Linked DNA regions of Macaca mulatta. The protein of the gene in region 2 binds, or shares a complex with, the protein of the main gene of each other region. Links are inferred from orthologs where the notes say so. Each region holds a gene or a part of one and is shown on either strand. Other genes may lie near its edges. The genes, in order: IRF9 and STAT2.

Region 1 (7,216 bases), on a different chromosome or scaffold from region 2:
TGTAATCCCAACACTTTGGGAAGCTGAGGTGGGCAGATCACCTGAAGTCAGGAGTTCAAGACTAGCCTGGCCAACATGGTGAAACTCTGCCACTAAACATACAAAAATTAGCCTGGCATCATGGCGTGCACCTGTAATCCCAGATACTCAGGAGGCTGAGGCAGGAGGATCACTTGAACCCAGGAGGTGGAAGTTGCAGTGAGCCAAGATTGCACTACTGTACTCCAGCCTGGGCGACAGAGTGAGACTCTGTCTCAAAAAGAAAAAAAAAAGAAAAAAAGAATTTTTTTGTAGAGGTAGGTTTTCACTATGTCACCCAGGCTAGTCTCAAACTCCTGGGCTAAGGCAGTCTTCTCATTTCGATCTCCCAAAGTGCCAGGATTACAGGTGTAAACCACCGCGCCCAGCTGAAAAAGGATTTTTTTTTTCTTTGAGACGGAGTTTTGCTCTTGTTGCCCAGGCTCAAGTGCAGTGGTGCGATCTCGGCTTACTGCAACCTCCACCTCCTGGGTTTAAGCGATTCTCCTGCCTCAGGCTCCCAAGTAGCTGGGATTACAGGTGTCCACCACCACGCCTGGCTAATTTTTTGTATTTTTAGTAGAGACAGGGTTTCACCATGTTGGCCATCCTGGTCTCAAACTCCTGACCTCAGGTGATCCACCCGCCTTGGCCTCTCAAATTACTGGGATTACAGGCATGAGCCTCAATGGCCAGCCAATTTTTTTTTTTAATTAAAAGAATTAAAATAAAATGGAAGTCGGCCGGGCGCGGTGGCTCAAGCCTGTAATCCCAGCACTTTGGGAGGCCGAGGCGGGCGGATCACAAGGTCAGGAGATCGAGACCACAGTGAAACCCCGTCTCTACTAAAAATACAAAAAATTAGCCGGGCGCGGTGGCGGGCGCCTGTAGTCCCAGCTACTCAGGAGGCTGAGGCAGGAGAATGGCGTGAACCCAGGAGGCGGAGCTTGCAGTGAGCCGAGATCGCGCCACTGCACTCCAGCCTGGGCAACAGCGTGAGACTCCGTCTCAAAAAAAAAAAAAATAAAAATAAAATAAAATAAAATAAAATGGAAGTCAAGGAGATAATTTAGACCTTGTACAAAGAAGGTCCAGGAGGGATTTCATCACATTGCATCACATTGAGGGCACAACAGGGATTGTACAAGTCTGCACTCAGTACCTCATTTCTTTACTGCTAGTGCAGAGCCTGTCTAGGCACTTGGCTTCCCAGGGGGATGATGGACAAGACTGAAGGGAAGAAGGGAGGTCCATGGAGGCAGGGAGGCTCAAAGGCAGCACTGAAGCTTGCCAAATGAGGCAGCAAGAAGGTCCTAGGAGGACTTAGGCATCCAGATTTGATCATGTGTATGAGCCATTGAGGGCTGAAGAGTGAAATGACAGGAGGAAGTCTGGAAAGCTAAGCTGGTGTCATATGCAGGAAGAAGGAAGCTGAAGGCTGTGGCCTGGGTTGGAACTAGTTTGCTGGAAGTGAGTGTACAAAAAAGTAGGTGACAGGTGGCCTTGTGGTGAAGGAAAAACCTTCCAGTTTGGTAGTAAAATGAACACAGGGGAAAGGGAAAGGAGTGTCAGCCAATTTGGAGCCCTCAAGTCTCATGAACAGCATGTTTGTGACATGGCAGTCTAGGCCGGAGTGCCTTTTTTTTTTTTTTCTTGAGATACAGTCTTGCTCGTTGCCAAGGCTGGAGTACAGTAGCACAATCTTGGCTCACTGCAACCTCTGCCTCCCAGGTTCAAGCGATTCTCCTGCCTCAGCCTCCCAAGTAGCTGAGATTACAGGTGCCCGCCACCATGCCTGGCTAATTTTTGTATTTTTAGAAGATGAGGTTTCACCATGTTGGCCAGGCTGGTCTCAAACTCCTGATCTCAAGTGATCCACCCACCTTGGCCTCCCAAAGTGCTGGGATTATAGGCGTGAGCCACTGCACCCAGCCAGCCAGAGTGTCTTTTATGGGGCTTAGATAGAGCAAGGAATCCAGTTTGGGAGTACCCTGCTGGGGTGACGGTGAAATTTGTGCTGGAGGAAGAGGTGCCAGTAACAACAGGTACAGGTTTAGCAACTCTTCGCTCTGACTCCTCTGTTCTCAGGCCCCAGGGCCTCTAGACCATAGTTTTAGGTCACCTTCAAGTGTCTCCTCTTCATTTAGACCTCCAGTCTAACCTCAGGCCCGATGTTGAGGCCTTCTAGCAAGAACTATGAAGCCCAGACTTTACCATGTGAAGTTGGTGGCTATAGTGCCTGGCTGAAGGCTTGATGCCCCTTTCGATGGCCTATCCCAACCCACTCCCTAATCTTGTCTGCCCAGAGGGTACCTCTATAGAGTGCCAGGCCCAGGACCCACAGGGCCCAGATAGCATATTAGCCAGAACCTGTGGGCAGAGGAGAGGAAAAAGGCTGGAGATGTCAGCAGGAAGAGAACCCCAGTGCCCCACTCTTAAGTTTACATCTCTATCTGTGACCACTGCTACCTTCTTCTCCCAGAAAATCAGATACTGATTCCTCTTTCAATAAAATTTTATTTTAAATCCTTAGTGAATATCTAAGAGGAAAATATAAAGTGCTTGTCTTTTTTTTTTTTTTTTTTGAGATGGAGTCTCGCTCTGTAGCCCAGGCTGGAGTGCAGTGGCCGGATCTCAGCTCACTGCAAACTCCGCCTCCCAGGTTCACGCCATTCTCCTGCCTCAGCCTCCTGAGTAGCTGGGACTACAGACGCCCGCCACCTCGCCCGGCTAGTTTTTTGTATTTTTTAGTAGAGACGGGGTTTCGCCATGTTAGCCAGGATGGTCTCGATCTCCTGACCTCGTGATCCGCCCGTCTTGGCCTCCCAAAGTGCTGGGATTACAGGCGTGAGCCACCGCGCCCGGCAGTGCTTGTCTTTAGAGTTGGGAGGTCAGGGAAGAGGGAGAGGCCCCCTGGGTTCACACCATTTGGAATTTCCCAGTCCCTTACAGGTGAAAGAGGGTGTATATGTCAAAATTTAAAAAAAAAAAAAGGAAAAAAAATTAGCCTTGAGTGCTCCACCAACCAGTGTGTGCGAGGATTTTCAGGATACAATTATCACAGACAACTATTGAGACTTATCACAAAGAGGACAGGTCAATCGTGTGAAGAATGAGTCTATTTCAAAGGAGACAGGAAGAACAAAGAGGTGAGGTGGAAGATGGGTACCCCACGCTCTACACCAGGGACAGAATGGCTGCCTGCTGCTCTGGAGTCTCCTCCAGCAAGTATCGGGCAAAGGCCTGCTCCATCTGTATTGGAAGAGATGGAGAAGAGTGTCTTAGTGAGTGCATCAGGGACAGACACCACCCCCAGGAGCTCCTTCCCCACTAGGAAACCCCCTTTGCCTCCTGAAGTACCACTGCCCCCGCTCTCATTAGATGGGTACTCTGCCCCTGCTCTGAGCTCACCTTCACTGTGATAAGATTCTGTGGAGTATGGCTGGGGCCACGGCTCTCTTCCCAGAAATTCAGTGTTACTTGGAACTTCGGTGGGGGGCCTAGGCCCTGGAAGTACTTGGCCAAGTCTGAAAGAGAAAGGGTCAAGGGTTGGAAGAATTTCAAAAAGAAGAGAGGGCCACAGGCAGGGAGGCAATAGTGAGAAACAAATGATGGAGAGAGGTAGGAGGGGGTCCTGCCACAGCAGGAGCTGCAAGGTCAGAAGTACTTGGAACTAAATGCTACTCACCCGTGTGCAAATAGGGAAAGGGTGCCCCTGCCTCAAATAAGTGCTTAGAAGTAGATCACTGCACAGCTGAAAAAGCTCTCTGCTGGGAGAGTTTAGAGTCCTCCCGGGCAGCAGCCCTGGCTGCTAACACAGATGTGCCCAGACCTTTGCTGCTTGCTCACACCCTTCCAGTGCTAGGGTACCCATGGTGCTGGGAACACCCACACTCTGCACCCATGTACACCTGGTCCCACTCTTAAGGTCAGGTTTAGAATTGAGTAGGAGCTGGAATTGGATGGGAGAGAAGCGCAACCCTAAGGCATGCCTGGACTGTAGTAGAGACAGTGCAGCCAGGGCCAGAGTGTGTGATGTGTGCCAGCTCTCCCAAATCTGTGTATATAGGAGAAGACCATGAAGCTCAAAATCTCTGTGCCAATTCTTCTGTGCACCTTCACATAGTGACTGCATGCTTCACTGTGATGGTGTTCTTGAAGATACGAGACTCTTGTGCTGGGCTCTACCTGAACCACCTCTTCCATTGTCTTGGCTGGAGGAGAGCTGCCAGGTAGCTGCCAGGCTGGGCATATGACCACACAGGATGTGCACCACACAAGTGCAGGAGTGCCATGCATAGGCTACATGGAGGATCTGCTGGCAGATAGGGAAGTGGCAGGACCCACCAAGTTGGGCCCAGGGGGTACTAAGAGGTAGGGGGTGGGAGCTCAGGTGCCCAGAGAGAGCAGCCTCACCTCTGCAGAAGTAGGCGGTTCTGAAGAGCTCCACACACTCGTTGCTGGGCAGCAGATGTGGGCCTGGCCCAGGTGGAGCCTGGGGTGCATTCCAGAAGATGGGGATGGGGCAAAGGCGCTGCACGAAGAGGCCTCGGGGGTTGCTGGCCACCAGGATGCCCCTCTCAAGCTGGCTCAGCAGGCGCTGCGTGGGCTCCAGTGGGCCAGGCTTGGGGAACAGCACCTGCTCCATGCTGCTCTCAGAGCCTGAGGGCTCAGCCACAAGGCGGCAATCCAGGCTTTGCACCTGGGCCTCGCCCACCACACGCCCGTTGTAGATGAAGGTGAGCAGCAGTGAGTAGTCTGGGGAATAGAACAGCCCTACTTGGTGCTGGAGGAGCATGCAGGCTGGCAGCAGCCCCTCCCCAGGGGAATAGCTCCACCTTCCCTCCCTGCACCAGCCAGGGGACTTCTTCTCAGGTTTTCCTGTCACTCAGGCAAGTAGCTAGTATGTGATTGACCATGAGGCCTCAGGGTTTAATGACCAGGGGCTTGTAGTTTACTAGAAGGTCCCTTGAGATTGGGCCTCTGTTTGGCCCAATGAAATCAACGTCTCAATGTAGATTTCCAGGAGAGTGTATAGGGTGATATTTTTGGGAAGCAAGCTTTTTGGAGCCTGGCCAGGCATGTGGAATTCTCGCCACCTAGAAACCAGTGCCTTGGGCTATGGTAATGTGGGCACAGTTTGCTGTAAGCCCTGACTGACTAGATAATGCATGCACAGTCAAAGGTGGAAGACCTCGGGGCACAGGGCACAGGAGAAAGTCAGAAATGCCATGTACCTGGCTCTGGAGGAAGCAGAAACTCCAGGGACCTCTGATCCCCTTGAAAGGGGGCCTCAGTTGTGTCTGTACCTGGAAGGGAAGCAAAGGCACTGGTCATTCAGAGTGGGACTGGGGAGTCTTGGGCCAGAGGGTGTGGCATGGGGGACAACACAAGAGGCAGGGCAGGTGGTACCTTCCTGTGGCTCAGGGCTGCTGCTGCTGCTGCTCCCGATGTCTGAATGGAGTGCTCCCCCACTGGCCTCCTCCTCCTCCTGCAGACACAGTGTCTTTTTTTTTTTTTTCTTTTTTTGAGACAGAGTTTTGTTCTTGTTGCCCAGGCTGGAGTGCAATGGGGCAATCTCGGCTCACTGCAACCTCCGCCTCCTGGGTTCAAGCGATTCTCCTGCCTCAGCCTCCTGAGTAGCTGGGATTACAGGCAGATGCCACAACACCCAGCTAATTTTTGTATTTTTAGTAGAGACGGGGTTTCACCATGTTGGTCAAGGCTGGTTTCGAACTCCTGACCTCAGGTGATCTGCCCGCCTTGGCCTCCCAAGACACAGTGTCTTTCATTGGCCCACCTCTCCCTCTAGTTACTGTCCTGCCCTCAGGCCCGCCCAGTTCCCTTTCCATCTCTTACATTATTGAGGGATTCCTGGAGTACAGAGGGACTGAGTGTGCAGTTCTGCATGGCACCCTCTTCCTCCTTCCTCTCAGAGGACACAGAACTGTGCTGTCGCTTTGATGGTGATTTCTGAGTCCCTGGCTGGCCTGTGGAATTGTTGAGGGAGACAGAAAGGTCAGGGTCTTGAGCAGGGACAGAGGGTAAGGGAGAGGTCTGAGGCAGTGAAGAATGCGCAAGCCTAGGAAGGGAAACCTGGGTAGCAGCCCCCAAGGGCACGGACAAGGCAGAGCTATGAGAAGCCTGGGGGAAGCCCGCACATCTATCCTTCCTCCCCAGTCTGCTGAGTCTAGGAGTGGTTGGGCAAGGGGAAACCCACCAGAGAAGGTTCCTGGTGGCAGCAGCCGATACACCTTGTAGGGCTCAGCAACATCCATGCGGCCCCTGTTAGGAACCTCCTCAAATTCGGTACTCTTGTTGAGTGCACAGCGCAGGCGAGTCTTCCAGACAGCGGGGCCTCCTGTGTCCCCTTCCTTATACTTTCCCTTAAATATTGCCCAGGCCTAGGAAAGAAAGCAAGGGAAAAAGAGGCAGTGTGTTACAGGCTCCAGCTGCCCCTCCAACAGGACTGGCTTTATGGGCGTGCAGCTCTAAGCTCAGAAGGGATCATGCAGGGTCTGTGCTCTGTGTTGCCATCTTGAAATCCCCAGAATTTTTTTTTTTTTTTTTGAGACAGAGTCTCACTCTGTCGCCAGGCTGGAGTGCAGTGGTACGATCTCGGCTCACTACAGCCTCTGCCTCCCTGGTTCAAGCAATTCTCCTGCCTCAGCCTCCTGAGTAGCTGGGACTACAGGCATGCGCCGCCAGGCCCAGCTAATTTTTGTATTTTTAGTAGAGACGGGGTTTCACCATGTTGGCCAGGATGGTCTTGATCTCTTGACCTCGTGATCCACCCACCTTGGCCTCCCAGAGTGCTGGGATTACAGGCGTGAGCCACTGCGCCTGGCCAAAATCCCCAGAATTTTTGAACAAGGCCTCCACATTTTCATTTTGTACTGGACTCTGCAAATGATGCAGCTAGTTTTCCTCTCCAATGTCTCCCTTGTCTGAAACCCAGGTAGACGCAAGTGCTCGAGGGTGAGTGTACCAGTGTATACACCATCCCTCACGCAGAGGAACAGTGGTTTCCAAGCCCTTTCACCTTGAAGAAGGCAGCATCCTGGTCCTCTCGGAAGTCCTGCTTGCCTGCATGCTTCCAGGGAATCCGGAACATGGTCTTAGCTGTATCATCCCAGCACACTCCGGGGAACTGCCCGCTCTCCACTTGCTCCACCACCCAGTTCCGGAGTTTTCGGGT
Region 2 (7,928 bases):
TCAAAAAAAATATATATAGGCGGGGCGTGGTGGCTCATGCCTATAATCCTAGCACTTTGGGAGGCCAAGGCGGGTGGATTGCTTGAGTCCAGGAGTTCAAGACCAGCCTGGGCAACATGGTAAGACCCCATCTCTACAAAAAACACACAAAAAATTAGCTGAGTTTGGTGATGCATGCCTGTATTGCTTGAGCTCAGGAGGTCGAGGCTGCAGTGAGCCATGATCACACCACTGCACTCCAGCCTGGGCGACAGAGCGAAACCCTGTCTGGGGAAAAAAAAAAAAGCTCCATGCTTGGCATCAAGTAGGTGCCCATTAACACCAGTCATTATGATCATTATTATCCAGAAACCCCTGTGGAGACAACCTAAGGATGGCAGCAGAAAAATATGAGATAGGAGAGACTAGAACTGGAAAAAACTAGAGTGGGCTAGGAGGGAGGGAAGGCTGGGGAGACTGGAATAGGGGCACGTTAGGAGAAGGCAGAAAGGAGAGACTGTGGGAATGGCAGGGCAGAGCAGCTGACCATCGTCCTGGTGCTCCACCCAGGAGCAGGTAATGCCCCCTTTTGACAATTCACTGAAGCACAGCCAAAAAGGACTAGGGAGGATGGGTGGAGAGTTTATATCTCACCTATTAGAGACCACAATGAGCCTGTGTTTCAGGTATTTCCTCCGTTCCTGGAGATTAACTGTGAGGAACATATATAAGAAGCAGAGAAGATCAGTGGGCCAGACACATAGCCTGAGGTTCCCCTCAGACGGTCCTGGCAGTCTCATCCCCATAGGAACCAGCAGTATCCCATGGACAAATCCCTTAACTCCTCTAGATATCAGTCTTCCCATGCTTGAAAGGAAGGAGTGGGATCTATGGATGTCTGAAGATCTCTGCAATCTAGCAATGAAGTATGTCAACAATTCCCACCTTTCTCCTGGTAGTAGCACCCAAAAGCTTCATCCCGGGGGATTCGGGGATAGAGGAAGCGCAGTGGGTTCTCAGGTATATTCTCCTCAGTGAGCAACTGGTAATGGCGGATGATTTCAGTCAGCGGGAGTGACTGCAGCACCTCCTTGGTGTACGGTTGCACAGAGTAGATGAGCACCTTGTCTGGAGAGTGAATGCAATAACAGGCAGGCTTGAGGGAAGAGGCCGGGCCTTGGAGCTCCCTGCTCTGGCTCCCCAGTCCCAAACCGGTTGAGGGATGCAGGACAGAGCCAGGGAAGCCAAGGGCAGGCAGAGGGGCAAGAGGGGAGCCAGGCAGAAAGGAGAGGCTGTGGGAATGGCAGGGCACAGCAGCTGACCATCATCCTGGTGCTCCACCCAGGAGCAGGTAATGCCCCCTTCTGACGATTCACTGAAGCGCAGTAGAAAGGTGCCAGAGATGGTTTTCTTCAGCAGCCGGCGCTCCTGGCTCCGACTCACAAAGCCCATGATGCGTCTGGAGCACAAAGAGCAGCTGTGAGCCGTCCCCCAACCCCCTGCCCCACCAGGCCCCTGCCTCCCTGCTCCCCTTGTATGGAGAAATAGCCTAGGTTTGGAACCCAGGTTTTGGACCAAGCTCTGCCACTTAGCTTTTTTATCTTTTACAAGTCACTTCACTTTGCTGACAACAGCGACCTTCCGAGGGTTTGAAGAGGTACGAAGATTCAGTGAGATCACACAGATGAACAGCACTCTTTTTTTTTTGGGAAAGAGGGTGTCATTCTGTCACCAGGCTGGAGAACAGTGGCATGATACAGCTCACTGCTGCCTCCATGCCTCGACCTACTGGGCTCAAGCAATCTTCCCACCTCTCAGCCTCCAGAGTAGCTGGGACCACAGGTGCACACCACCATGCCTGGCTAACTTCTGTATTTTTTGTAGAGACGGGGTTTCACCATGTGGTTCAGGGTGGTTTTGAACTCCTGGGCTCAAGTGATCCATCTGCCTCAACCTCCCAAAATGCTAGGATTACAGGCATGAGCTACTGTGCCCAGCCATGAATAGCATTTTTTTTTCTTTTTTTTTTGAGGCCAAGTTTTGCTCTTGTTGTCCAGGCTACAGTGCAATGGCATGATCTTGGCTCACTGCAACCTCCACCTCCCGGGTTCAAGCGATTCTCCTGCCTCAGCCTCTTGAGTAGCTGGGATTACAGGCCTGCCAACGTTCCTGGCTAATTTTTTTTATTTTTAGTAGAGATGGGGTTTCACCATGTTGGCCCGGCTGGTTCTGAACTCCTGACCTCAGGTGATCTGCCTGCCTTAGCCTCCCAAAGTGCTGGGATTACAGGTGTGAGCCACTGCGCCCAGCCATGAATAGCACTTTTTTTGTTTTGTTTTGTTTTGAGATGGAGTCTCGCTCTGTCACCCAGGCTGGAGTGCAATGGCACGATCTCGGCTCACTGCAACCTTCTCTCCTGGGTTCAAGCGATTCTCCTGCCTCAGCCTCCTGAGTAGCTGGGATTATAGGCACGCACCACCATGCCCAGCTAATTTTTGTATTTTTAGTAGAGATGGGGTTTCACTATGTTACAGGCCAGGCTGCTCTCAAACTCCTGACCTCAGGTGATCCACCTCGGCCTCCCAAAGTGCTGGGATTACAGGCGTGAGCCATCGCGCCTGGTCATGAATAGCACTTTTTTTTTTTTTTTTTTTGAGACAGAGTCTCGCTCTGTCGCCCAGGCTGGAGTGCAGTGGTGCGATCTCGGCTCACTGCAAGCTCCGCCTCCCGGGTTCATGCCATTCTCCTGCCTCAGCCTCCCTAGTAGCTGGGACTACAGGCACCCGCCACCACGCCTGGCTAATTTTTTGTATTTTTAGTAGAGACAGGGTTTCACTGTGTTCACCAGGATGGTCTCGATCTCCTGACCTCATGATCCGCCTGCCTCGTCCTCCCAAAGTGCTGGGATTACAGGCGTGAGCCACCGCGCCCGGCATGAATAGCACTTTTAAAAGCCAAATGCTACACAAATTGGTAGGCAGTGTGGTGAAAAGAGCATGAGCTTGGGGTCACATAGGCCTGGGTTTGAATATCAACTCTGTCCCTTGGGTAAGTTCTTTAACTTCTCTGAAACTTAGTTTCCTCACTTGAAATGAAGATGGCAAAACCCACCACTCAGCATAGTCATAAGGATGAGATGAGAGAATTAATGAAGAGCGCGCATCAGGCTCTGGAATGCAGGAGATGCTTCACAAACACTGTCTATGGCTATCGTTGTTAACAAATGTGAGGAGACATGGCCTCACGCCTGTCTTTGCTCTCTCTCCCTGCTTGCCACATGAGGGCGCACAGACTCCACTCTCAAGCCCAGAAAGCACAAGCCCAGGAGACAAAGTGGACCAAGGCCTTACCCATCATTCCAGAGATCCTTCAGGTGGTCATGTACCAACTCCAGAATTTTGTCCAGCCATGTCCAGAATGGTAGCTTGCCAGGAGGGCTCTCTCGCTGGAGGAGGAATGGAAAGGTAGCAAGAGCTGAGGAGTTGCCCCTGGTGTAGGGAAGGAGGAACATGGGAAGGCCAGTATTTGGAATGTGGGCTAGATCTAGCTCCACAGGAATTCAGGGAGTTACCTTAGTGAAGTCAGCCCAGGACAATAATGGATCCTCAGTTCTACAGTTTTGCCCTGTGGGACAGATAGCCACAGACAGATGATGAGGGAAGCCAGGGGTCCTGGGATAGATAGGACAGAGGGACAGGAAAGACTAAGGCTGGGGAAAGGTTGAGAGAAAAGGAAATCTGTACCGAACAGCTTGTTTCTCAGCATGCTCAGCTGGTCTGAGTTGAGGCCTCGGCCAACATAGGAGGAGAACTGCCAACTGAGAGCCGGGCCCAGCAAGCTCCAGGGGGCTTTGAGGGGGTTGGAGAAGAACTGCTGGTTCTGCAGGGGTGGGAGGAGTGCAGGCTGGCTCAGAAGAAGCCTATCACACCAAGCTTCCACACCCCTCCTCTCCCCACTTGACCTGTCGGCCCCACTCCCTACCTGAAGGTTTGGGCTGAGCAAATTGAACCAGAGAACTGAAGCCCAGGCAATTGAGAGCTGGTTCATATTGGAAATAATCACCACAGGGAGGGTGTCCGTCTGGGGAGAAGACAGGAGTCACACAGAGGGATGTGACGTTTCTAGTTGCAGGTATTTGTTAGAGGAAAGGAGTGCTAATCCACCCCAAGAGGCTTCTTCCAAAGAAGCCTTTCTTCTTTCTTCTTTATCCCCTCCTTATGCCTTCTTCCAAAGCTGCTTTCTCTCTCCTTGCCCTCCATTTTCACTCACTTTCAGCTCCTGCTTCAGACCCTGGTAGGTATATTTGACCGTGAAGCTGATGATGTGCAGTTCCTCTGTCACACCTAGTGGCCCCTGGGACAGCCAAAGACATAGTCATCAGAAGGCCCTTTGGCAAGTTCCCCCTGCCCCCGAGTCCTCTGTACTGGCCTCACCTTATTGCTGCCCTTTCCTGAACCACCTGAACGTTGTTCCACCAGGGTCTGTGAATTGAGGGGAAGGAGAGAAAATGCCAGAGTGGGCACCCTAGGGTCCCCGGAACTCCTGTTTGGCTTCAAGACTCCTCAAGCCCTGGGAACTTCCCCCAACCCCTGTTCCTTTGGACTAAAAGCAGGCCAGGTGTGGTGGCGCATGCCTGTGATCCCAGCACTTGGGGACGCTGAGGCGGGTGGATCACCTGAGGTTAGGAGTTTGAGACCAGCCTGACCAATATGGTGAAACCCTGTCTCTACTAAAAACACAAAAATTAGCCAGGCATGGTGGCGTGTGCCTGTAGTCTCGGCTACTCAGGAGGCTGAGACAGGAGAACCGCTTGAACCTGGAAGGCGGAGGTTGCAGTGAGCCAAGATCACACCACTGCACTCCAGCTTGGGGGACAGAGTGAGATTCTATCTCAAAAAAAATAAAAATAGTAATAAAAGCATAGGTCACAAACTATTCTTACCAGGTAACCAAAGTCCCAAATCAAACCCTGACTCTGCCCCTTCTCGGGGGTCAAAGTTTTCTGGTTTGAAGTCAGAATGTTGAACTTCCGGAAGCTGTTCCAGGAGGAAGAAGATATATGGAGATAAGGAACGGAATTACTCTAAAAACTCAGCAGAAAAAAAAACAGAAGTTCCACTTCATTTCAGATCTCGCCATCTCCCTTTGTCCATATCCCAAATCCCCCTCCTCCTTGTTTGTGCCACCAGGGATGCCGAATGTGGTTCTGCAGGTCGTGCAGTGTACAGATGTTTGCAGTGTCCTTGTCAAGCACCTACCCTTGTAATTGAGGAGGATTCCTGAAAAGAAATAAATTAAAAAAAAATCATTGGGCAAAAGAGTATGGAAGTTAGGAGTTTGGTCTTTGGGATCAGATAGACCTGGGTTCAAACCTGACTTGAGCTCACTAGCTACGTGGTCTTGAGAAGAGATGTAATCAGTCTCTCTAAGCCTGTATCTTTGTTTGTACGGTGCACCGGTAATAGTTAATTCATGGGGTTGGTGTGACAATTAAATGAGTACCTGACATGCTGCATGTCACAAAGTAAGTGTTCAACAAAAGAATTGAATTATAATTTCTATGAGATAGGAACGGAAGGAGGAAGAAGATAGCCCTAGACCCTGTTGTGAAGAATGAGTATCTCCTTCACCCCAGCAGCCCATGTCCTGGCCACCCTTCACCTGCTCCAATTTACCTGTCAATGGAGACTTCCACAGTCAGTGACTCATTGCCTTCCTGGAGTCTCACCAGCAGCCTGTGGGAAGGAAGGGGGATAGGGGAAAGTGGTCAACCTCAACCTTCTGGATAGGCCAGATGTTTGAGAAAGAGAAGAGGGATTATAAGAGGTAGGGAGACTGAGAGGAAAGAGAGAAGAAAAAGCCAAGAGTGGGAAGAGCTGTAAAGCCAGAAAATACAAAGTGGCAGGGTTGGAAAAAGCAAGCAGGAATGAGTTCTGGAATGCCAACCTTGTTCGGACGGTGAACTTGCTCCCAGTCTTGAGGATGAGGGGTCGATGGGGAGTTTGGGGCATGCAGGGCTGGGTTTCTACCACAAAAGCTCTGAGGAGAGAGAGGTGTGGAAAGAATATATAGCTCAGTATCTGTAAGAATGGCTTCCCTTGTTCCTTCTTTCCCCCAGGGTTCCTGCCTGGCCTCTAGACCTGTCGAGCAGACGCTGTAGCAACTCTGTGACCTGGGCGTTGCGTAGGTCCACCCCTTTGATCAGAGGGTCATCCTGATAGCTAACCAGGCAACTCAGTCCCTTCAGCTCCTTCAGCAGCTGCCTCAGGTGAAACAACAGCTTTGCTCCAGCTGTGAACCTGGGTGATAAAATTCAGGAAGAAGGAATCCATGAGTTTCCTGGATTCCCCCATCCAGGTTCCAAGACCTCTCCATAAATATGTGAAGAGTCAGAAACTGACTTGGGGGTGGGGGGAGAAGAATCCAGGAAGCGTATAAAGGATTATTCAACATGATTCATAATCTAAGAAATGAAAATCGAAGCTATTTTCACATATAAAACTGCTAACAGATTTAACATAACAGCTTTCATATGCTATGTACAACTTATATTAAGCCCTTTCCACATATTAACACATTCAATCCTCAAAACAACCTCTGAGGCAGGTACTATTATTATCCCCACATTACAGATGATAAAACTGAGGCACAGAAAGGTTAAGTGACTTGCTCAAGGTCATACAACTAGTAAGGGATGAAGCTTGTATGTGATCCCAGGCAGTCCCATTGTACAACTCACACTTTTTTTTTTTTTGAGACAGAGTCTCACTCTTGTTGCCCAGGCTGGAGTGCAATGGCGTGATCTTGGCTCACTGCAACCTCCACCTCCTGGATTCAAGAGATTCTCTTGCCTCGGCCTCCTGAGTAGCTGGGATTACAGGTGTGTACCACCACGCCCGGCTAAATTATATATATATATTTTTTTTTAGTAGAGACGGGGTTTTGCCATGTTGGCCAGGCTGGTCTCGAACTCCTGACCTCAGGTGATCCACCCGCCTCAGCCTCCCAAAGTGCTGGGATTACAAGCGTGAGCCACTGTACCCAGCCCCAACTCACATTTTTAACTACTGTACTTTACTGTTTCTATAATTAAAAATGATAATAATCAGCAATGTGGTGACAGGAAAACAACCAAACACTACACATGAGAAAACAGATCCGATCAGGACAACTATTCTGGGAAACATTTGCAACTATCTTTTTTTTTTTGGTGGGGGTGAGGGTGGGGGTGGAGGTGGTTTCTGGCAAAAACTTGAAAGCCTGCTAGACAAATTCTAAAAGAGCTGTAACACCTGGAACTATCTTTTAAAAAGCCTCCCCAGCTGACATGGTGGTTCACACCTGTAATCTCAGCACTTTGGGAGGCAAAGGTGGGCAGATCACTTAAGGCCAAGCACTCTGGCCTGGGAGATGGAGACAGACCCTGTCTCAATCAGTCAATCAATCAATCAATAAATGCACGCATGCATGCTGGTCCTGTACTATAAGTACTATATGCCTGTTTTTCAATCTACCTGAGCAATTGTGGTATTTTTTTATCTACTTTTTTTTTTTTAAAGAGGTGAGGGTCTTGCTATATTGGTCAGGCTGACCTCAAACTCCTGGACTCAAGCACTCTTTCTTTTTTTTTTTTTTTTTTTTTTTGAGACTGAGTCTGGCTCTGTCGCCCAGGCTGGAGTGCAGTGGCCGGATCTCAGCTCACTGCAAGCTCCGCCTCCCGGGTTTACGCCATTCTCCTGCCTCAGCCTCCGGAGTAGCTGGGACCACAGGCGCCCGCCACCTCGCCCGGCTAGTTTTTTGTATTTTTTAGTAGAGACGGGGTTTCACCGTGTTAGCCAGGATGGTCTCGATCTCCTGACCTTGTGATCCACCCGTCTCAGCCTCCCAAAGTGCTGGGATTACAGGCTTGAGCCACCGTGCCCGGCTTCAAGCACTCTTTCTGCCTCAGC

What was found.
Region 1: the proteins of STAT2 (region 2) and IRF9 are in contact, whole or in part, in a crystal structure (PDB 5OEN), measured with the Mus musculus proteins. The link is inferred for Macaca mulatta from reciprocal best matches to the Homo sapiens genes STAT2 and IRF9. Residues at the interface, in NP_064347.1 of Mus musculus: Arg163, Gln164, Lys166, Asp167, Glu168, Asp170, Val171, Phe174, Arg175, Thr177, Val178, Phe179, Leu181, Lys182, Asp188, His190, Gln191, Gln193, Gln194, Leu197, Thr201, Lys204, Met208; in NP_032420.1 of Mus musculus: Leu206, Leu208, Tyr212, Leu233, Asp234, Arg236, Ser244, Glu245, Ser246, Ser247, Met248, Asp270, Arg271, Leu274, Val275, Ala276, Asn278, Ser279, Arg280, Phe283, Val284, Gln285, Leu287, Cys313, Glu315.

Annotation. Positions count from the first base shown.
Region 1 is NC_133412.1:97,280,650-97,287,865, reverse strand, and holds the end of IRF9 (interferon regulatory factor 9), read right to left. Parts: coding exon 7,061-7,216; intron 6,423-7,060; coding exon 6,239-6,422; intron 6,009-6,238; coding exon 5,878-6,008; intron 5,510-5,877; coding exon 5,431-5,509; intron 5,328-5,430; coding exon 5,256-5,327; intron 4,777-5,255; coding exon 4,435-4,776; intron 4,334-4,434; coding exon of another isoform or gene 4,207-4,333; exon of another isoform or gene 4,135-4,206; intron 3,546-4,134; coding exon 3,430-3,545; intron 3,271-3,429; coding exon 3,196-3,270; coding exon of another isoform or gene 3,137-3,195; 3' UTR 2,880-3,136; downstream 1-2,879.
Region 2 is NC_133416.1:63,516,287-63,524,214, forward strand, and holds part of STAT2 (signal transducer and activator of transcription 2), read right to left. Parts: intron 7,274-7,928; exon of another isoform or gene 7,210-7,273; intron 6,279-7,209; coding exon 6,120-6,278; intron 6,019-6,119; coding exon 5,926-6,018; intron 5,715-5,925; coding exon 5,655-5,714; intron 5,259-5,654; coding exon 5,238-5,258; intron 5,016-5,237; coding exon 4,922-5,015; intron 4,461-4,921; coding exon 4,413-4,460; intron 4,333-4,412; coding exon 4,249-4,332; intron 4,060-4,248; coding exon 3,961-4,059; intron 3,859-3,960; coding exon 3,723-3,858; intron 3,604-3,722; coding exon 3,551-3,603; intron 3,425-3,550; coding exon 3,330-3,424; intron 1,439-3,329; coding exon 1,302-1,438; intron 1,108-1,301; coding exon 925-1,107; intron 692-924; coding exon 634-691; intron 1-633. UniProt on the Homo sapiens protein: Signal transducer and activator of transcription that mediates signaling by type I interferons (IFN-alpha and IFN-beta).